Caenorhabditis elegans: one gene and its partners. The protein of the gene in region 2 interacts with the protein of the main gene of each other region in a pairwise test. Each region holds a gene or a part of one and is shown on either strand. Other genes may lie near its edges.

What was found.
Region 1: the proteins of zyg-9 (region 2) and C53B7.3 interact in a two-hybrid assay, tested with the Caenorhabditis elegans proteins (one large-scale study listed by BioGRID).
Region 3: the proteins of zyg-9 (region 2) and F58F12.1 interact in a two-hybrid assay, tested with the Caenorhabditis elegans proteins (one large-scale study listed by BioGRID).

What each region holds. Positions count from the first base shown.
Region 1 is NC_003284.9:6,841,505-6,847,179, forward strand, and holds C53B7.3 (DUF7107 domain-containing protein), read left to right. Parts: upstream 1-3,250; 5' UTR 3,251-3,264; coding exon 3,265-3,288; exon of another isoform or gene 3,289-3,334; coding exon 3,335-3,395; intron 3,396-3,487; coding exon 3,488-3,772; intron 3,773-3,831; coding exon 3,832-3,951; coding exon of another isoform or gene 3,952-4,030; coding exon 4,031-4,108; exon of another isoform or gene 4,109-4,154; coding exon 4,155-4,396; 3' UTR 4,397-4,471; downstream 4,472-5,675. Other genes in the region: asg-2 (putative ATP synthase subunit g 2, mitochondrial), read left to right, coding at 1-57, 300-392, 440-517; C53B7.2 (TIL domain-containing protein), read left to right, coding at 4,747-4,779, 4,836-4,963, 5,542-5,675.
Region 2 is NC_003280.10:8,454,712-8,465,048, forward strand, and holds zyg-9 (Zygote defective protein 9), read left to right. Parts: upstream 1-3,106; 5' UTR 3,107-3,109; coding exon 3,110-3,301; intron 3,302-3,347; coding exon 3,348-4,205; intron 4,206-4,252; coding exon 4,253-4,831; intron 4,832-6,333; coding exon 6,334-6,420; intron 6,421-6,519; coding exon 6,520-6,672; intron 6,673-6,721; coding exon 6,722-7,175; intron 7,176-7,222; coding exon 7,223-7,569; intron 7,570-7,767; coding exon 7,768-8,280; intron 8,281-8,397; coding exon 8,398-9,326; intron 9,327-9,402; coding exon 9,403-9,538; 3' UTR 9,539-9,801; downstream 9,802-10,337. Other genes in the region: F22B5.6 (Serpentine Receptor, class J), read right to left, coding at 1-120, 193-267, 417-510, 988-1,146, 1,191-1,250, 1,403-1,432; fars-3 (Phenylalanine--tRNA ligase beta subunit), read left to right, coding at 10,141-10,198, 10,335-10,337. UniProt on the Caenorhabditis elegans protein: Plays a major role in organizing microtubules and spindle poles during mitosis and meiosis in one-cell stage embryos. Required for default nucleus positioning in oocytes.
Region 3 is NC_003280.10:6,380,589-6,386,462, forward strand, and holds F58F12.1 (ATP synthase subunit delta, mitochondrial), read left to right. Parts: upstream 1-3,056; 5' UTR 3,057-3,064; coding exon 3,065-3,184; intron 3,185-3,230; coding exon 3,231-3,363; intron 3,364-3,410; coding exon 3,411-3,607; intron 3,608-3,827; coding exon 3,828-3,869; 3' UTR 3,870-4,104; downstream 4,105-5,874. UniProt on the Caenorhabditis elegans protein: Mitochondrial membrane ATP synthase (F(1)F(0) ATP synthase or Complex V) produces ATP from ADP in the presence of a proton gradient across the membrane which is generated by electron transport complexes of the respiratory chain.

The DNA of each region.
Region 1 (5,675 bases), on a different chromosome or scaffold from region 2:
TGGGCCAAAGTCCAGAGCTTCATCCAGACCGGAGGATACAAGAATTTGAGCATTAGAGTGAGTTTTTGTTAAATAAAAAAGTTAAAGTTAAAAAATATACTTTATGAATAGTTAGCCAGAACATTTATACTAGACTTTCACATTACCATACTAAACGTTTCAAACATTAAAGTGTTGCTCTATATATAAATAAACACAACGAATTCACTTGATATTACTAATGCAAATTTTTATTCATATTTGGTTATCAAAAACTTCAAAACGATGAAATTTATTAACCGGAACGTTTATTTTTTCAGGAAGGACTTGTCTACACTGCCGTCACTCTTGAGGTTGTCTTCTGGTTCTTCGTTGGAGAAATGATTGGACGTCGCTACATCTTCGGATATCTTGTAAGTTGTCATGCATTATTTTTATTAGTCATTATATCGTATTGTAGGTTCCTGCTGATTACGTTTCCAAGTCCACCAAGAAGACCGTCAAAGAACAAGAGGCTCTTGCTGCTCTCGAGAACTAAATTGTTATCCTTATGTTTAGCGGCTCGTTTTTGATATCGACAAATTTTTGATAGATTTATTTTGGAGTTTGTAAAATGAAGTATTGATGAAAAAAATAAATATAAAAATTTCTAATAATTTTTGATAAAATTTGGCTGTGTTTTGAGAAACATTCAAGGAAGACATTCTGAATGCAATAAAAATTAATTTAAATTAGAAACTTTTAGAGTACGCTCTAATAAGTTGGCATATGTACATAGATGCATGGGGAGTATAAAAATAAGAATAACATCTACACCGTAGTCAATATTTTATAAGTATATTCGTACAGCAAGTGTACTAAAATACAATTTTCACAAAGTAAATTTTTTAAATTTGAAATTGCATTTATACAGGAGGGAATAATCCTAAATCGATTTTTTTTTGAGAATATCACCAAAAGTCTGGTGTTTCTCATAATTTTCCGATTTAAGGGTAAACTTGGTCCCCTGTACCACCCCTTTATAACTTTTCTGCGCGCTTACTCATCTCTCTATTTCATATCAAAATATATGAAATAGAGAGATGAGAAAGCCACAAAGTTATGAAAAAATCAAAAAAAAAATCATGTTCACTAACCAGTGACAAAATGCCTTTCACATTCATAAAATTAATTTCACCGCACATTAGCAATATTTTGGCATATTTACAAATTTATTTCAGTGAATTATGGCCGAAATCAGTTGCAAAATAAATATATACATGTATGCATACAAAAAACTAGTTGAGAAAAGGTTGTCACTATTGATCCTTGCCCCTATGATACACCCCACTATGCCTACTGGATCCTGTGAAATTTTGAATACTTCGTTTCCATAGAACCCTAGTCACCCAAAAGTTTGCCATCTCGGAAGAAAATTCTCAGATTTATATATTATTCAGTATGCAGGTCTCATTAGTTTTGCAAGCTTTTTCTTAAATGAAAATCACACTTTCTCCTTTCTTTCATATAATGATTTTATGTAAATTCACCAACAGTTCATGTTATCAATCCTAGTTCATGAACAGTTGCACGTCAACAAATATTTTCAAAAATTAATTACAGTGCCGGACATAAAGGTATGCAGAAAAGGTTTTTCGTGAATTTTTTGTGAAAGTATTAGGTCTCCAAATAAGTTCCGGGTCAAAAATCATAACTTTTTTTGCCTTTTATAGATTTTTTGAAACTTTGGGAATTCATGTTATCAACTATGACCTTTCATTTTGAAATAGTCACAAAATTTTTTGACCACCCGGAGTGCCCTAACTCGAAGCCATTTTTTTCAGGCATTTTTCTGATCTCGCTTCTTTGCAGCTTTGAACTAAGGTTTGTGTGCGGATTTTACTATGTTTAGAATACATCGTAGGAAATCAACAAAAGTTTGGAAAAAAATCCGTCCAAAAAAATTCTTTTTGGTCGGCCGTCAAAAAAACTTCAAAAAAAATTTCTTTCGAAAGTTTTTGATTTTTAGTATAAAAATGATGTAACCATGTGTAAACTATTTTTAAACATACAAAACATTTGAGTTTGAAAATTGGATCTCGAGAAATACTCAAAAAACTCAAAAATATTCTTCGAAAAAATTATGTTTTCTATTATCATTTGAGTGTGACGAACTTAGTTAAAATGTTTTGTATTTGTAAAAATAGTTCACACATGACTACATCATTTTTGTATGAAAAATCAAGAATTTTCGAAAAAAAATTTTTTGAAAAAAATAAAAAAATTTTTGACCACCGACCAAAAAAAAATTTTTGGACTGATTTTTTTCCAAACTTTTGTTGTTTTCTTACAATGTATTTTAAACAAAGCGAAGTCCGCACATAAACCTCAATTCAAAGCTGCAAAGAAGCGAGATCAGGAAAATGCTTGAAAAAATTCCTAGTGGTCAAAAATTTTTGTGACCATATCAAAATGAAAGATCATAGTTGATAACATAAATTCCCATAGTTCCAAGAAAATCGATAAAAGGCGAAAGAAGTTATGATTTTTGACCCGGAACTTATTTGGAGACCTAATAATTAAAATCGATTCATTTTATTTATCTAAACTCCATTCCATGTAGATTCCACCAAAAAAAAATTCGCGTTTGGTGGCTGTACTTGCATTTTTTTTAATCGAGCCGAAAAAAAGTTTGCTCACAATGTAAACGGTTTTTGCCAATCTTTCGCTTACCTGACAAACATCTCTCGGAGTTGTTTGTCACTGCAATCTGTGGTTTCTGAGTGTGAACAATGAATCATTCTTTCCGAGTAAAATAACAATAACTGAATTTATAAAGCAATATCGGAAGATTCCGTGACTCCAGATGTTACATTCTAAAAGCATGTGATCGAAATAGAACAACTTTATTAATCTTTCGGATAGAATCTATTCTCGGAATCTGCTCGATCTATTAATTTAGTTTCTCGTGATAATAAGTAACATTAACTCAAACAAAAAAAACTATAGTCCGCAGTGTAAGCGAAATGTAAACATAGCGGTATTTGTGACTCGGGCCAAACAACACGAAAAAGTCAATAATTTAAGTGAACTTATCAACGACTACTTATCAACGTTTATTGACTCTGTACCCTTTGGCAGACATTTTTTGTAAACTGGGAGATTTTTCTGGCAAAACATGTGTTTACTTGGACGACGCTGAGCCACAGGCACATGTTTATCGAGTCCAAGACAAACAACCGCCTAGAAAAAAGGACAAGTATAAAAAGGTCAGAGGTGACTGGGATAAACCACACCAAGTCTAAAATGCAGTTTACCATTCTTCTTGCAGTGAGTTTTCCATCCAATAAAAACCTTTTAATTAAAACAATTTCAGCTTTTTGGCCTTGCTTCTGCTGCCACATACTATTCATCAACTCCAAGCTATAGCAACTCTTGTAAGTAATATAATAGAGTTGTTAGATAATAGATAATAGAATAGATAATAGAGAGTAATATAATAGAGAGTGTTAAATAAAAAACTTTTCAGACAGAAGTTGCTCTTCCTCTTACGAATGTTCGTCTGGCCAAACTTGCTCTAATGGACAATGCATGAGCTCTCTCGGATATAACGGAGGACTTTACTCCAACACCTATAACAACAACAACCAATATGACATGAACAGTCAGTATGGCAACCAAATGGGTACCACTGGATCCGGAACATACTGCACCACGTCGTACTCTTGCCGATCTGGAGAAACATGCATGAACAACAGATGCCAAAGCAGCTATTCCAACAACATGTACAACTCCAATTCTCAGTACTCTAACTGTAAGTGTACCGTGTCTACCTGAGAGTAGAGCAAGTCTATAATTTTGGATTTTTTTAAGCTGGATCCACTTGCCGTTACTCTACCGACTGCTACTCTGGACAAATGTGCTCCAACGGAGTTTGTGTCGCCCAATACGGAACCTCTTACAACAATGCTATGTACTCTTCATCTACAGGAAGTAAGAAACATTATCACAATACATATCCCAATTTCACAAATATAACAATTCCATTGTCTAATGCACACATCTTTTCCAGAACGATGCCTTAACAATCTTTCCTGCGCTAACGACGAACGTTGTGTTAACGGCCTTTGCGTTATCCACATCGCGTCTAGTAATTCCGTAAACTTGACATCTTACATTCATTGTTTTGTTTCCAGATTACTGTACTTATGATAACACTTGTGGACTCAATCAAAGATGTGTTAACAACATGTGTCAATCCACCGGATCAAACTCTATGTACGGAAGTGGCTCATCCGGATACAACACTTACGGCTCTGGAAACACCTATGGATCATCCAACTCCAGATGCACATACAACTCGGACTGCGGATCTAATAGATACTGCTCATCTGGATACTGCACCAGCTACGTGCTCAGACAAAAGAGAAGCTCTTAAGCATTTGTACTAAACTTGTATTATAAAACTACATGAATTATTCAATATTCCAATAAAACATTGCCAATCCCTTTTTAAATTCGAATTCTCCAATCATGAAAGCTACATAAATCTTCTTCAAAAAGTCTGTGGGGAGCTTAAGGCCAAGCGTCTCGAGATTTTTTACTTTGAAGACAATCTGTCTTTGTAAAAGCCAATGCATGTGTCATAAGATTAATGATGCGAAGGTTTGGTATGAAATATATGAAATGGCAAAATGTGACTGAATATGAAAAAATTACACTGACCAGATGAGGATATTGGTATATAAACTAACATGTGCCTGCAAAATCTGATTCATCAGTTGAAATATGATGTTTGCATTTCCAATAGCTTTGTTGTCGGTAAGTTAATACACCAGGTTTCCAGGTTTCTAAAAGTTTGACAATAATATTTACAGGTAGTACTGGTGGTTGATTCTCAATACCATCAAACAACAACTCAAGTGAGTTGTGGAATCAATGAGCAATACTCTCCGTGTACTCAAATGTGCCCACCAACATGTGAATCTCCAAACCCACAATGCAGGTGAAGTCTTAGAACAAAAACATTTTTAAAATTAAACAGTCTACAACATTTTGTGAAAAGCATGGTGTCCTCTTCGAAATTCTTATATGGATACTTCATTACCGGTAAACTTGGATGACTCTATATATCAACTTTAAACAATCAGTCTTCCATAAAATAATGATAATTTTTCCATGATTATTAGCACATTAGTGATACATTTATCATATTGCACATTCACTCTGATAAATTTCTGTTCTAAGCATCGAATTTAGGGTACTTGTGTATTATATCCCCGCCATTTTAAAAATTAACTTTTCTATTTATAAAATAAAAACGTGTGGAGTTTTAGGTTTAGGAAAACACCATACACAAAACACCTAACGAGGAAAATGGGTATCACGTTCTATTTAAACAAATAAATAAATGGAAATTTGAATAATTTTCAAAATGGCAGGGGTATAATACACAAGTACCTAATTTAGCCCTACTTACGAAGTTCCTAGTATCAATGTATGTTCAGGCGACATCCCAATTGCATGAAAACTTATAAAATAAAAATTAACAGAACGATACAAACAAAATAAACATAATTTCAGAGTTGACTGCACCCGTCCATCTTGTACCTGCTTGCCAGGCCACGTCTACTCAAACTCCCGTCAATGCATCCCAGCCAATTCTTGCTACCAAACTCAATCGCTTCGCTGCCGAATGAACAACGACTGTCGTCCAG
Region 2 (10,337 bases):
ATCCAGAGAATGTCCATGAAAATGCAGTCAATAAAATATGAAGTGGAATGAAGACAGCTTGAATTAGTAGGTCGAAGAATACATTTTTAAACTCCGATGAAATAGCAGTTTCGCATCCTGCTGAAAAGATTAAAGATTATCAAAAATATAGCTTTGATATAAAAATGATGGGAATAAGGAAGACAATCTCACCACTTTCGAGTTTCCTAACTTCTTCACCAGTACTATTCGAGGTAATTAAGTAAGTTTGTATACCTAATTGACGACCTGAAATTAGCTGCAGAATGTTCTGTCAAAATACAATTCACACAGTCATACACAGCTAGTGATTGTTATGAAAAACCTTTCGAGTAACTTTCGTTCAAAATTGCCAGAAATGTGATAGCTGCCCTCTAACAAAATAATTAGAAACTTACATGAATAAATTGTTGACATTTTTGCAAACCATATCTCAACAATGTGCCCCAGTAGATATCCGGTAACAAACAAACCGCACGCAACAACTGCTATCTGAAATTTTTTTGCAAGCATTATTTCTTTTCGTAAAAATATTTTTCATTTAAAAAAACACAATCAATGCGAGCACCGCTAAAGTCAGAATGCACTACCAAAAACTGTTTTCTCGCGGGACCCATCCTAAAAAAATTGTGCGCGCCTTAAGGAGGAGTTTTTAAAAATTGCTCTTATAGTGGAGAAATGTTAAAATATCATACTAAATATAATTTGAGAAAAGTTTTTCCCGTTTTTTATCTACAGTCAAAAATGGTGGAAAATAGGTTTCACCTATAATAAAATTGGTAGTCGACCAAAAATTTGTATTTTTTCTACGAGTTTTATAAAAGCTTTTATTGGGTTTCAATTGCTTGTTTTTAACATTCAAGATGTTCCTTTCCCACTGGTCGAAATTTCTCAAACAGTAAAATTTTCGGAAATACCAGTTATTTTCCAAAACTTTTCCTGTGATACTCGAACCAACTTGAAACTTACATTCATAAATACCACATATCGGAAGGTAAAATGTGTTTTGAACAGAATATCTACGATAATCAAAGAAGTAAGAATACATAAAAATGCAGTGGTTACACATGTCAATCCAAAATGAGTATTAGTTGCATTTTCTGAAACCGATGGAAGTTGATGTTTTAACTGAAATTATGCATTATTGCTAGAGATAATAATAGGGAAAAAACCATTAACGATTTTGCCACGAGATGAGTTGAGCATATTCCAAGAAATAATATTGGAAGACTCTGAAATTTTATTTGAAAAAAATCGTAAGAAACTCGAAGTAACTGGGATCAAATACTACAACAATTGTCATGTCCTACGTTGGAAATTTTAAAGAAAACTGTGAATGATTTTTCAACATGTTGTCTAGTTTTGAAATAAAAGAAAAACGTACTTGTACAAAAAATGGAATGTTCTTCGACATCGTCAGAAGAACGACTTTTTCGCTGACTCAACTGACACTGTTTCATGATACATTGTTTTCTTTTATACCGTATGTTTATATGTATGTTATTGTGTTATAGACGAATTTTCGATGAGACAAAATATGTGAAAATTTTTATTTAGAGTCAAAATATTATCTTCGAGTTCACCGTGAATTATATGATATTGCGCCAGAAGCCACCAGCTTTCAGGAACCGTTGGTAGGATAAGAGCCTCCAAGAAGTACGATGGACGTTTTTTTTGTGAGATCCACGTCGAGAGACAACACGAATTAACATAAGCAAAAGTACCATAGGGGTTTTTCATGCTTCTTCTCACGAATTGTTAAAATTTAGATTTTTTTATTCAAAAAAAAAAGGTTTAATAAACGCGTGCTGCATGCAACACTAACTTTCGGGCCCTTTTTTTTACGCGTGCTGCATACAACACTAACTTTCGAGCACTATTAGAGACTGCAGTATTATCAGAAAATAAATATGATGTTTGTAAATTAACAAGAAACCATCAAAAATATACAAAAACACACATTATTAGAGACTGTAGTACTATTGAAGATGCAGCGCTAATAGGAAATATACGGTATTTGAGAAATCGATAGAAAATCTGCAGTAACCAAAGTTTGCAACAACAGTACTCTTTAAAGACGCGCACCTTTTTCATTTATCAAAAATTTGTCGTGTCGAGACCGCACAGCATTTTTGGCGCCAAATTTCCTGTTTTTCTCGCGTTTCAAACGCGTTTTTTAGGCGTAGGCTCATTTTTGTCTTGTTACAAATCAAAAATTTTCATCTCCCGGTCTCCATATCTGAAATTGACCTTGATCGATGGCTTAAGCGCGCGAATTCTCCCTTCCAAAACACTTCTTGTTCATTTTGCATTCGTATTTTTGAAATAAACATTTCTTCGTTGCGCTTTAATTATTTTTAAGACCAAATTTCGCTATTTAACAGAGCTTTTTAGAAAATGTTTCCTTTCTTGTTCAGTACGCAGTTGACAGCCCCGTCGTTTTACGCGCGCGTTGCGTATCAAGCATGCCACTTGACGACATTTTTATTCGAACGCGCGGTAGAAAATAGTTTTGAAAAGCGCAACGGAAACCTTCTCGCTTTCGCACTTTTTCAATGAATATCAGTTGTTCCCATGTGAGCTCATCATTAAATTGTTTAAATAATTTGTCGTCGCAAGTTAAGCTTTTCAGTGTTTGTCGCACAGTGTTAAGCGTTTGTTCGAGATGTTTCGTCCTTTTTTTGAGATTTTGTTTCTTTGTGAAGCACTTCCATTATCTAATTAATCAAATTTATTATCTGCGTAGTGTTTTAGTATTCACTTGGCTCGAACAAAAAGTTGTATAAAGAATTCATTGATTTTTTGTCCTTTCTTTTTTTTTGCCGCGTAGTGCAACTGAGCCGGCCCGTCCGCCTCTGTTTCTCTGTTTGCGCTTCTTTTTGACGGGTTGCGAAATCGGTCGAAAATGGGCTTGCGGCGAAAAAGTTCCATGTGACCCCAATTACCCCTCGCAGTTCGAAAATATTGATTTTTTCCCTCTACGTTCTCCACCGGAAATCTATTGTTGAAATCTCCTTTCTCTTCAAAACTTATTTTCGTTCGCTTTCTTTGTTTATTGCAAGGCACGTAGTAAACTGTCATTTTTCAGATAATGTCCAATTGGGATTATCTGGACGAGGTGGATATCCTTCCCAAACTTCCACCGAACTTCGATGAGCTGCGAGAATCCAAAAAATGGCAGGAACGAAAAGAGGCATTGGAAGCACTTCTCAAAGTACTCACGGACAATGAGCGACTTTCAACAAAAGCTTCATATGCCGAACTTATTGGTCATCTGCAGATGGTTGGTTTTCATATTTTTCGGTCATTTCTGCAATCTCATTTTACAGGTTCTAGCAAAAGATGCAAACATCAATTGCCAAGCGCTTGCAGCCAAATGCATCGGAAAATTCGCAACGGGATTACGTGCAAAATTCTCTTCTTTCGCAGGACCACTTCTTCCCGTCATTTTCGAAAAAATGAAAGAAAAGAAGCCGATGCTCCGAGAACCTCTTGTAGACTGTTCCAATGAAGTCGGCCGTACAATGCAATCTTTGGAAACTGGTCAGGAAGACATTTTGGCGGCGCTGGCCAAACCAAATCCTCAGATCAAGCAACAGACTGCACTTTTTGTGGCTCGGCAGTTAGATTTGGTGGTTCCAGCAAAACAACCAAAAGGATTCATCAAAGCTGTTGTGCCTGTGTTTGGAAAATTGACTGGCGATGCAGATCAAGATGTCAGAGAGGCATCTCTTCAAGGTTTAGGAGCTGTTCAGCGCATCATTGGAGACAAAAACGTTAAAAATCTCCTCGGCGATGCTTCTTCCGATGAAGGGAAAATGAAAAAGATTGGGGAATATGCTGAAAAATCAACCGCTAGCTTCGCAGAAGAACAAGCTAAAAATGCTCCACCAGTCGCTCCCACTTCTTCGACACCTTCGGCAAGTGCTGCTTCGGGAGATCCATCCGGCGGAACAGCAACTGCTGTTGTTTCATCTGGAGCTCCAGTTGCGGAAGCCGATCCTTGGGATTTTCTTGACGCTTTCGACGTACTTTCCAAAATGCCCGACGGTTTTGATACCAACATCGAAAGCAAGAAATGGCAGGAACGAAAAGAAGCGCTTGAAGGTTTGCTTCAATTGATCACAGCGAATCCGAAGCTCGACCCAAAGGCAAACTATGGCGCACTCGTTGAGAGATTGCAGAAGGTATGTGTATTTTGTCCTGAAAAATTATTTTAAATTCAAATATTAAGGTCCTCGAGAAAGATGCAAATATCAATGTGGCTGCACTAGCGGCCAATTGTATAACTGGTATTGCTAATGGTCTCCGTACGAAGTTCCAGCCGTTTGCTGTGTCTGTGACTCCAATCATTTTTGAGAAGTTCAAAGAGAAGAAACCAACTCTACGTGATCCGCTGGTTGCTTGCATTGATGCAGTTGTTGCAACCACAAATCTCGAAGCAGTTGGAGAAATCGTACTCGCAGCGCTCGGAAAACCAAATCCAAGCATTAAGACTCAAACGGATCTTTTCCTTCAACGATGCTTCATGAAACTGAATTCACAGACCATGCCGAAGAAGACTTTGAAGACGCTGATCCCGTCGTTGATAAAACATTCTGGTGATTCGGATTCGGAAGTTCGTGAAGCATCATACGCTGCAATGGGAGCAATGATGAGAGCCATTGGAGAAAAACCTTCTCTGCAACTTCTCGCCGATATTGCATCGGATAATCTGAAAATGAGCAAAATCAAGGAGTTTCATCAGAAGGCGTTGGATGAAGCTGGGCCCGCAGAGATTGCTGAAATGGTCAAATCGATTCACAAAGCAGATGTGAGTTATTTTATTATTATTAACCAGCCGCTGACCGCGCCTACGGCGCGGGCAACGCCTGGCACCATTAAAAGTATTTGACACACATACCTTCAATCACTCAAAAAATTTCTCATCATGAAAAAAACTTGAAACACTTAAAACGCGGTTTACTGGCACTGTTACATGTATGTATTTTTCTACGACATGCATGTTTCAAAAATTCACAGACAGTATGAAAACTTTCTGTTATTTTTTGACCAAGACAGTAACCTTACAATACCACTACAGTACCTTGACATTATCCTCCACCGACTCCTAACCCAATACCTCTTCAAAGGACGAAATGCCAATTTTTCCAAAACTACAGTAACCCTACCGTATACCTACAGTACCCCTATAGTAACACTACAGTACCTTGACTTGATCCCCCATAAACTCCCGAATAACTACCTCTTCTAAAGCTCTAAGCTCAATTTTTCGGAACATTCCAGAATTTTCTCGATTTTTCTAGAAAGTTCTGGAACATTACAGAAATTTCTCGATTTTTCTAGAAAGTTCTGGAACATTCCAAAAATTTCCCAATTTTTCTAGAAAGTTCTGGAACATTACAGAAATTTCTCAATTTTTCTAGAAAGTTCTGGAACATTCCAGACTTTTCCCAATTTTTCTAGAAAGTTCTGGAACATTCCAGACTTTTCCCAATTTTTCTAGAAAGTTCTGGAACATTACAGAAATTTCTCAATTTTTCTAGAAAGTTCTGGAACATTCCAGACTTTTCCCAATTTTTCTAGAAAGTTCTGGAACATTCCAGACTTTTCCCAATTTTTCTAGAAAGTTCTGGAACATTCCAGAATTTTCTCGATTTTTCTACAAAGTTCTGGAACATTCCAGAATTTTCTCGATTTTTCTAGAAAGTTCTGGAACATTCGAGAATTTTTTCGAAATTTCCAGAAGATTCTAGATTTCCAGAATTTTAGAATTTTCAGAAAATTTAAATTTCCCGCAAAAATATTTTTCACAGAAAACTTAAATTTCTCGCCGAAATATTTTTCTCAGAAAATTTAAATTTCCCGCCAAAATATTTTTCACAGAACATTTAAAATTCCCGCCAAAATATTTTTCACAGAAAATTTAAATTTCCCGCCAAATTATTTTTCACAGAAAATTTAAATTTCCCGCCAAAATTTTGGGTCTTACCACGACGGGTCTCACCACGGTGGGTATTACCACGATGGGTCTCACCACGACGGGTCTCACCACGGTGGGTCTCGCCACGATGGGTCTCACCACGATGGGTCTCGCCACGATGAGTCTCACCGCGAAGGATGACAGACCCCGCCCACAATTCTCAGTGACTTTGGGTGTGACGTCACAGACTACAAAGACTACATAGACTACAAACTATGGAACAAACGGAATTATTTTTTTATATATAAGTAATGATAGTATTTAGAAGTATTCACTGATGATTTTTGTACTGCTTATTTGTAATTTTATTGTGAATGTGTTGTCAAATTTAGGCTCCGCCAGCTGCTGCACCACCGAAAAAAACAGCTCCACCGAAGAAACAACCGGAAGATGAGGAAGTGGTCGAGGAAGAGGATGAGGTGATTAAAATTGTGTTCTTATTTCCATATAGTAATTTGTATCGATTGTGTGGTCGTTTAAAACTGAAAACTTACAATTTTTTATTATTTTTTTTTCAGCCCCTGAAACCACCACCAGGCGATAAGAAGAAGAAAGTTCCCGTGAAGGAGAACGAAGAAAACGAGCCTCCCGTTGTTGCACCAAAAGCCGAACTTTTGCTCAGTGACAACGAGGATAAAAAGCAACGAATCAAGGAAGAGAAGCAATTAAAAGTAATTGCTTTAAATGAGTTAATAATCATACATTCTAATTAATTTGCAGTTAGTCAAATGGAATTTCCAAGCTCCGACTGATGAACATATCTCGCAACTTCAAACCCTGCTCGGAAACCAAGCGAAAGTGTCTCTAATGAGTCAACTTTTCCACAAAGATTTCAAGCAGCATCTTGCGGCTCTTGATTCTCTGGTTCGCCTTGCCGATACATCTCCTCGATCTCTTCTATCCAACAGCGATCTTCTATTAAAATGGTGCACTTTGCGATTTTTCGAGACCAACCCGGCCGCACTTATCAAAGTTTTGGAATTGTGCAAAGTTATTGTGGAGCTAATTCGGGATACAGAAACTCCAATGTCACAAGAAGAGGTGTCTGCATTTGTTCCATACTTGTTATTGAAGACAGGAGAAGCCAAAGACAATATGAGAACTTCTGTCAGGGATATTGTCAATGTACTTTCAGATGTTGTCGGTCCACTCAAGATGACACCCATGCTACTTGGTATGAGAGAAGAAGATCAATAATGTTCTAGTAATTTTTATTTTCAGATGCGCTGAAGTCGAAAAACGCTCGCCAACGTTCCGAGTGTCTGCTAGTCATTGAATACTACATTACAAATGCTGGAATAAGTCCGCTGAAATCGTTATCAGTCGAAAAAACAGTTGCTCCATTTGTTGGTGACAAGGATGTCAACGTCCGAAATGCTGCTATCAATGTTCTCGTGGCTTGTTTCAAATTTGAAGGTGATCAAATGTGGAAAGCAGCAGGAAGAATGGCAGATAAGGACAAGTCGTTGGTTGAGGAAAGAATAAAACGAACAGGAGTGAAACCGGGATCTGGTGTTGTCACCTCGCCGCCAACTGGAGGACCCAAAATTTTAGTGCCACAACAACAGGTTAGTTGTTTAAAATATTTCTCGTAATGAGTCAGGTTCCCTGAAAGATCACTTGAATCGGCCATACAGTCTTACGAGTTGGAAGTAAATAATATTTTTTTTTGTCTCAAATATTTGGAGTTAGTAGTGATTCCCTATTCGATACCCACGCGAAGTTTCGTTCAGTTTTTAGAAAACGAAAAATTACATGTTTTTCAGGGTTCGGTTGTTCGTCGTCCTGCTTCTCGATCTCGTACTCGTGAACCTGAACCAGAAGAAGTTCAAAGCGACACCTTCACTATACGACAAGACACAATGCCTCCAAAAACTTCATCTCGCTATGCACTTCGTGACGACGTCTTTTCGTCAGCCATGGGCCGTCTTGATGGCACTCAAGTCATCACTCCACCACAACCTGTCAATGGCTGGTCAAACAATACCTTCCAAATGAAGCGGACCAATTCTTCATCGTCGATTTCCTCCATAGACACTTCTGATCAAATCCAAAGAAGCATCAACAATATTTCGAGCAGTCTTGCAGATGTTGCTCAAGATGCTATGTTCCAGGTCACTTATGTTCTTAATCAACCTGAACAACGTCATCTTGTTGATCGACGTGCCGATTTGGTGTTTCGTGCATCTGCTGCTCAATTAGATTTGGTGATTGAAGAATTCAATGCTGGACGAGATGTCAGTGGAACTATGGACGCTTGTACGCAAATGCTTTTCATTGTAAGTTATATTTTTCATATGTCATAGTAATCAAGGGGAGTTCCGAAATATATCTGGCTCTCTTTGTTTCATTTAGTCATGCCATGTATATGTATATATCCAAATTTATCTTTTCAGTTGATGGGAGGAGTCGAAACTGAGCACGGCCTTGAGCCACTTAATGCGTCCCCCGACACAGTCAAAGCCATCATCTCTTCGGTCCTCAGATGTATCATCCAAATCGGTAACACAGAGTCCGGATACGGAATGGCAAGATCTCTCAATCGACTGGCAATGCGATTAATCTACAGAGTTGAGCTGTCTAATCTGTTGTGCGGATTGATTCTGGCAATGACTGAATCACTTCAAATGAACACCGGTATAACCGAACTTGTGTCGAAGCTCTCGTCGAAATGGTGTGATGAACTTGAAAAGAGAAGAGCTCAACTGAGAGCCTCGGATATAGTCGACTCATTCAATGCTTTCTACGTTTGTGCACTCACAGAACTTAAAATGGACATCAGCGATTCACACATTTTGATAGTTGATAACTATTTGGAGCGGGTTATCCTTCAGCAAGGAGACGTCGTCTTGGATGCTGCCCGTCGTCTTTCTCGACCACATATGCACTTGACCAGTATGATCAACAAGATTTTACAAATGATGAGAGAACGAAAAATTGATCCTATCATGCCTGGAACATTGGAAGCCAGAATGCCACAAGAGGATGAAGCAGTTGTAGTGCGAAGCGGCGTTCAAGTTTCGATCGACAATATTCTGCGTGATACCTCGATGGCAGTTAAACATATTGAGCAACTGAATATTCTCATTGCATCCAGTGACCGATCTTGGAATGAGTATATGGAATATCTCAAAAATAATCCAATGGGAGAGCTCATCAAGGAGCTAGTCGGCGAGTGTTCCAGAAAGAAGAGGATTGACTTTAACCTCTCTCATGTCGTTAAATCGTCAATGGCAGTTTTCAAAGCCATGGCAGCTACTGGTCCTGTTCAAGAGGAAGGTAGAATAACTCCAACAGATATAAACAGAATGGATACTATGATTGTGTAAGTTTCATAAGACAAAGAACGTAATTTAGCTCTCATCTCATATTTTGCCAAACTAAAAAAAACTAATTTTCAGTGGAACACCTCTATCTCGTGGAGACGCAACCATCACTCGTGCGCGTGGAAACATGATCCGTCCAAAGAGAACCACATTGAGCCGAGACCAAATGGCGAACATTCGTCATACACTGGACAGAGTCAAAAATCATTGATAATTTTATCCCTGCCCCTTAAAGTGCATAACACGAAAATAACGAGTAATTTCTTACACCCGCATTTTTACTGGTATTTTTTAGCTCTATGCTTCAATTTTATTTGCTTGTGAAATGTATTTTGTATTGTAAAATCATTTTGATTACCAGAAGAATTTACTGATCTGGAACTTTAATTTATTGATTGATATTCGTGGAAGAGCTCGGAAGTATTTCAGTTTTTTAGCGCTTATTTCATTCCCGGAAATAAATTTATTGTTTAACTTTTAAAAAATAACTTCAGCAAACAGACTCTCAATAAAAGGCGGATTAGCGGATTTTATTTGAGAATTTCGGTTCGATGACTGTTCTATGGAAATACATGAGAGTTTCGCTTTAAAGGTTCTGATTTCCAGAAATTTATTTATTTTTTCCATTTATTAATTAATAATATATTAAATTCCAAAAAAAGTATTGTCCGCAATGTGGCGTCACCGTGTACACCTTGGTTGGTACTAAGGACACCGAATTTGCCGACAATCCAAATTAATCCTATTTTCTTTTCGGTCTTCTTGATTAATTTCTCTAGATTTCCATAGTTAATTCATTATATTTTCAGCGAAATGCCAACTGTGGGAATCAAGAAAGTCATCCTTGACAAGCACTTCAAGCGAGTCTATTGTAAGTTTCTAAAAAAAGCAGTGTAGTCTGAAAAATGTTGCTACTGGAATTAAAGTAGTAAAAGCAATGAACGGATATCAAAATAAATTCGTAGTAAACTACATTGTTTGTATTACCAATAATGTTAAATTTTCAGCGG
Region 3 (5,874 bases), 2.1 Mb from region 2:
CTTTTATGTTTAAAACTTAGTTTTCTACACAATGCTATTTTTGATAATTTCAGTATTGCAAGTCGTGGAACGATTTCGAGGTTGTTCTGGAGTTACAGTTCAGTTGGAAAATGTCGATTTTAGCTCATACCTTTCTACCTACCGTAACCTTGATTAACTTCACAATTATTTGTGTTGTTGTGTTGTCGTTTTTCATTTCTTGTTTTGTCCCTTGAAACCTGCATTCTTTTTTCTTACACATTCTTTCTCTCCATTTATTTATATTCTTTATCTGCCACAGTGTTTCTCTCTGATTCATAAATTCATTCATTTTCTTTCTGTGTGGTTTAAACTTCAGGTTTCTCGATTTCTCTATCATCTCAAAATTATGCATAAACCCATTTTTCCATTTTCTCTTCGTCTCCATTCCTTACCTCTTGCAAACTGATAGGGGCGTGACCTTGTTCCGAAAAGAGGCGGAGTGTCGGAACGAAAAGTCAACGACATGTCCTCTCCGGTCAGTCAGCCACCGACTTCTTGGTGCTCTTCTCTCTGAAATTTCATTCGTCTGAAAGTGACCTACTTTTTAAACTCAACAATGATTCATCATCCAGTATATTTTTATGGAGAAGCAACATCAATGGATCTTCATAAACATTCAACATTATTCTCTGTGCAAAGAATGCAAAGACTTCAACTCATCAAAATATCAACACCGGAACACAATCGGTATGGTCAATTCAAGAAAAGGATCACTAAATGATATCCACTTATCATTAGTCACGTGTCTACATGACTACATGGCTACAACATCATAAGATATATTTTCCTTGTACATTCTTAGGAAAGTGTAAATATAATATTTTGGAAATTTTCGAAAGGTATAGCTCCAATTCTAGAGTTCATTATTTATTTATTTGTTTTTTTATAAGCACGTTATATTTCCTTGTCCCTTACAAAAGGAATTGTATATATATATTTGTCTGTACATTTTTTGATATTTTTCTCATTCCGCTGGTTGGTCATCTATTTCAATTGTTTCGCGATGATTTGCAATATTTTAATGGGATCTCATTTATTTTGTTTCATGTTCAATTGTACATTTATTTTGATTTTTGTGATAATTTTGAATCTCGAGTGAATTTATTTTTAATATGTTTTAAGTTTGTATACAATATACAAGAATTGAGTTATTAAAATACAATAATTACAAAACTAACCATGATATGGCTAAAAGAAATCAGCTGGGACAAGCTTGATTCACAGAAATTTGTAGGCTTTTTACAGTTAGAAAACTCAAAACTTCCGGCAGATCCTGAAATAAAATACAACTCTTGAGTTTACTGAAAACGTAACATTTACAGTTACAGTACCACAGAAAGGCTGATAATTTTTCACCCTAATCAGCAATTTAGGTGAAATTTATTACAAGTGGAATGCTTACAATAGTATTGAGAAAATTTTTTACCTACCTAAAGGTTGCGTCTCTCTCTCCGAAACTTGTAGAAGAATGGCTGCTCACTCCAAACCGGAATTATCTGTTGTTTTGGATGCATAGTTTTTAAAAGGCAGGTCTTAAAAATCCAATCCCTAACTTCTCTGCATGCACAAACTTTAAAAGTAGCTACAGTAATATTTTCACATGATAACCTGCATTAGGAGTGTTAACCCTAACCACAAACTTTATCATTGACTATGTGTCTAGTTACAATGACCAAACAACTGTGTGTGTTTCTTTAATAGGATTCTAATAGAATGTTAAATATCTAATGGCGAATTCGTGATTTCAGGTGAATTTATTTAGTTCCGGACACAAGCCTAAACAGAAAGTTCACAAAAGTTAGTCATGATGATCTTTTATCTTCAGTTGCAAACTTTTTCTCCACGGTTTCATGATTTTGAAGCTTCTTTTTATTTTAGAGATATCAAAATGTTGTCGATCTACTTACTCACTGCACAAAAAGGTTATTATGTAGTTTAAAATAAATTTTCGTTGGGCAGAATGAGGGATGATATATTATTACTGTTTCCCGGTATCCACTTGATGAGCATGCGACCTCTCTGTCCAGAAGCCAAACTTTCAATAACATCTACAGTATGTACTGTATTTTGCAATCACTTATAAAAACTGAAAACTGAGAAGAACCATAAATCATACATTTCCCGCATGTTTCTACTCAATTGATAACCGGATTATCACATTTCTTTACTATTACTATGAAATGACACGCAGTTGCAACAAACTTCAAATATTTGATAAGTTTCAGTCAATTCAGCAGAAAACGCACCAACACACATGTTCTGCTTCAGGTGAAGGAAACACGTAAAAAGTCACGTGGCTTATTCAAATGTTCAAATGAGTCGTATTTTGCAAAGTGTATCGAAATGCTACGCAATGTAGTGAATAATATAGTAAGTTAAGTGAAACCTACAAATCATGTATACAATTTTCAAAAATTTCCATATATTCTTCCCTGCGTACAATTCGAGAAAGGAGCAATCTACTTTAATGGTTAAGATTTTTTCAATCAGTAGCTTCAATAGTGTACTCTATTGCTGTTTAGATACGTCTTCAAATAAAGTTTATTTAAAAAATATGTTTTCTCTATTGTAATAGTTCTATAATTTCAAAAATTATTCCAATTAGCTACATTTCAATAAATATCAAAAATTCTACGCTTCTTAGTTGAAAATCTCCAATTACATTCGCTGTTTCATATTTAACATACGTTTCATTAAATCTTCAGGCATTTTTTAACCTTCGCCAAGATGGCCTAGTTTTTCCCGATGGCCGCGGACTAGCCATTAGGGGATGCAAACACGCTCCGTTGGACGACGGGCGATCTCGATTTTTATTCACCTTTTTTTAACAAAAAATCTCTGTTTTCAACTGTTTTGGGAAGTTTTTTCAGTTAATTTTCGTTATTAAAAATTGAAAAAAGTATTCGACTATATGTCTACGATTTTTACTATTGTTTGTTCCCCAAATACAATCTATTCCTCCGATTTTTTCATTTATAATTCTTAATACACATATTGACCTTCTAAAAATCAATCAAACAATGTTATCATTTCAGAGGGTAAGATGTTGGCTCGTACTATCCAAAGATTCTCGGTTGTTGCCAAGCGCGGATACGCCGCTGCCGCTCCAGCTGCCAACGCCAACCCAGAGGAGCTTCGTCTCACTTTCGCCTCCCCAGACACCGTGAGTAAATATTATTTGAAAACATTATTTGAAAATCAATTTACAGGCTGTCTTCAGCAATGCTGTCGTCAAGCAGGTTGATGTGCCAACTTTGGCCGGTATGGTTGGTGTTCTTGCCAATCACGTCCCAACCATTGGAGTTTTGAAACCAGGAGTTGTCTCTGTCACCACAAATGAAGGTTTATTTTGCAAAAATAAATTGTATTATCACCAAAGAATTTTTCAGGAACAGTTCAACGCCTTTTCGTCTCTTCGGGAACCCTCTCCGTGAACATCGATGGATCATGCCAAGTTCTTGCTGAGGAGGTCCTGAAAGTTGAAGAAATTGATGAGTCTGCTGCCCGCGCCGAGCTTGATGCTGCCCAAAGAGCCTCCGGAGAAGGAAGCGAGGTTGCTCGTGCTGAAGCTCAAATTCGCGCTGAAGTAAGTGTTCGAAAAAGTTTTAAAAACCAAAAAAAAATACAAGAAACGAATATCGTTTGGTTTCAGCAAAGTTAAGCATTTCGTAATATTTTTATTATCAAAATGATTCTGTGCTTCGATACTAAAACTGAGACCAGGACATAAAGTTGAGGGTCATAAAAGTAGTTCTCTGAAATGAATATGTCTTTAAGTTTTGTTTCAAAACAAGGGAATTTTTCAGGTTGCTGAAGCATTGATCAAGGCCGCCACGAACCAGCAATAAGGAGTATGTTGAGAGTAGACCCTTTAACTTTGGTAAATTCCTTTTTAATTTGATCCTAGGCACATCGTCAATTTCTCTCGATGCTGCTTATAGGATATTATGTACGGCCCTCCCTTTTTTTGTTTTCATTGTTCCATCGTTTCCAATAAATTTCGAGACTTTTAGTTTTTGACTTTTATTTTTCCAATTTTCTGATTTAGTGATATTTATAGTAGAAATGAACATTCGATCCTTCATCCAAGTAATTATATCAAACAAGAGAAAATTCTGAAAATGTATGTAAACTGGAATACCAATTCCATGAGTTTAAAACAATTACAATCTACAGCAATACGTACCCTAAAATGAAATAGAATTAGTATTTCCTTATGTTTACCAAAAAACGGAAACCTCGGGTTCGATTCAATTCATGCGCTAATCGAAAATGGTTGTTCAAAAAGCGAAATTGAACGAAAAAAATCGTAAGTGATGATGCCATTCAGAAGAATCTGCAACATTTGAAGAGGAAACCCAAGGAGGATTCGGCTTTTTCAAAGTGATGAAAGTTGAGATACAAATTGGAATTGTCTTTTTTATCGACAAACCCACTTTAAATGCCATTTACAGACACGATGGGAGGATAGACAACAAACTTCAAAAATCATATGAACACTTTTCTGAATCAAAATAATTATTCACCAATTTTCCACCATTTTTAGTAAATAGCTAATATTAGTTTGAATATCAAACTTCTTTTATTAAAATTGGAGCTTTATTTATTCAAACCTTCGCAAAATTGATTTGGTTTCTAAGAACTTCAAATAAAAAGTATTCTAAAAATGTTTAGCCTATTCCAAATACCAATGTCACATAATCTTATAGATCCGTCGCCACACTCAATAAAATTCTTCGTTAGAAAGTGTTCGGAATAGTGAGAATGGATTCGATTCCATATCTGTGTACATGTACAATTATGTCGGTTTCCGTTAATTGAGAAAAAGAATTCAGGAATTGAAGAGACGAAAAAGAAGAAAAGATATGTCTTCGGACTGATTGGCATCGTTTGTTCGGTGGTCAACACACCGTCAACGCACAGATTTCCGGAAGACCTTTCCTTTTCCACTCAATCATCAAAACTCTTTTTCTGTCTTCTTCTTCTTTTACTTTATCCTTTCTCTCATATTTCCAACACTTTTTGACAAGGTAATATACGTATAAGTCTCTCATTCCATCATAATATTTCGTTGCTGTCATTCGAGAACCGCCCGGGAAGGGGATGACTAAATTGCTGGAAACCACTTTTCGCTTTCACTGCTTGCCAACGTTGTGTTTATGTTGTTACCTATGGCTTATATGATTTGGCGCCCTTCTAGATTTTTCTATTTTATTTTAATTTTTGTTTGAAATCCTTGTTGCAAGAAATTTACAAAATATGTCAAGTGTACTCCTCAAGAAAGTTTAGAAATCGTCTAAATAAGTACAGTAGGATGATGAAAAAACTTTGAAATTCGGTTAACTTTTGGCCTGAACTGTTTTATTACCCAGACGCGAAACTTTCAGAATTTAAAACCAAAAGTACGGTACCTGGTCTCGACACGACACATTTTCGTTAATGCAAGAATGTGGTGTGCGCCTTTAAAGAGTACTGTAGTTTAAAACTTTCGGTGGTGTTAATTTAATTCTATTAATTTCCATAAAATCTGAAAATTTATGCTCTTTGATTTTAATTTTAGTTTTTGCAAATAACCGGTGCAAATTCCAAAGCAACGAAAGTTTGAAGCTACAGTACTCCTTAATGGCGCACACTTGTTAGAATTTGTCGTGCCGAGACCGGAGATCGTATTCCTGGCTCAAAAATCGCAAATTTAGCTCCAGAGTAATATTATTGCTAGATTACATTTTTATTCCCCTCCTGAAATCTTTTTTTTTTTCATATTTATGCATCCCGAAGAAATATGCACTTTTAAGGACTACTGTATTAGTTTTCTTCTTTTTCTATGCTCTCACTGGCCTATGCTTTGTTGTA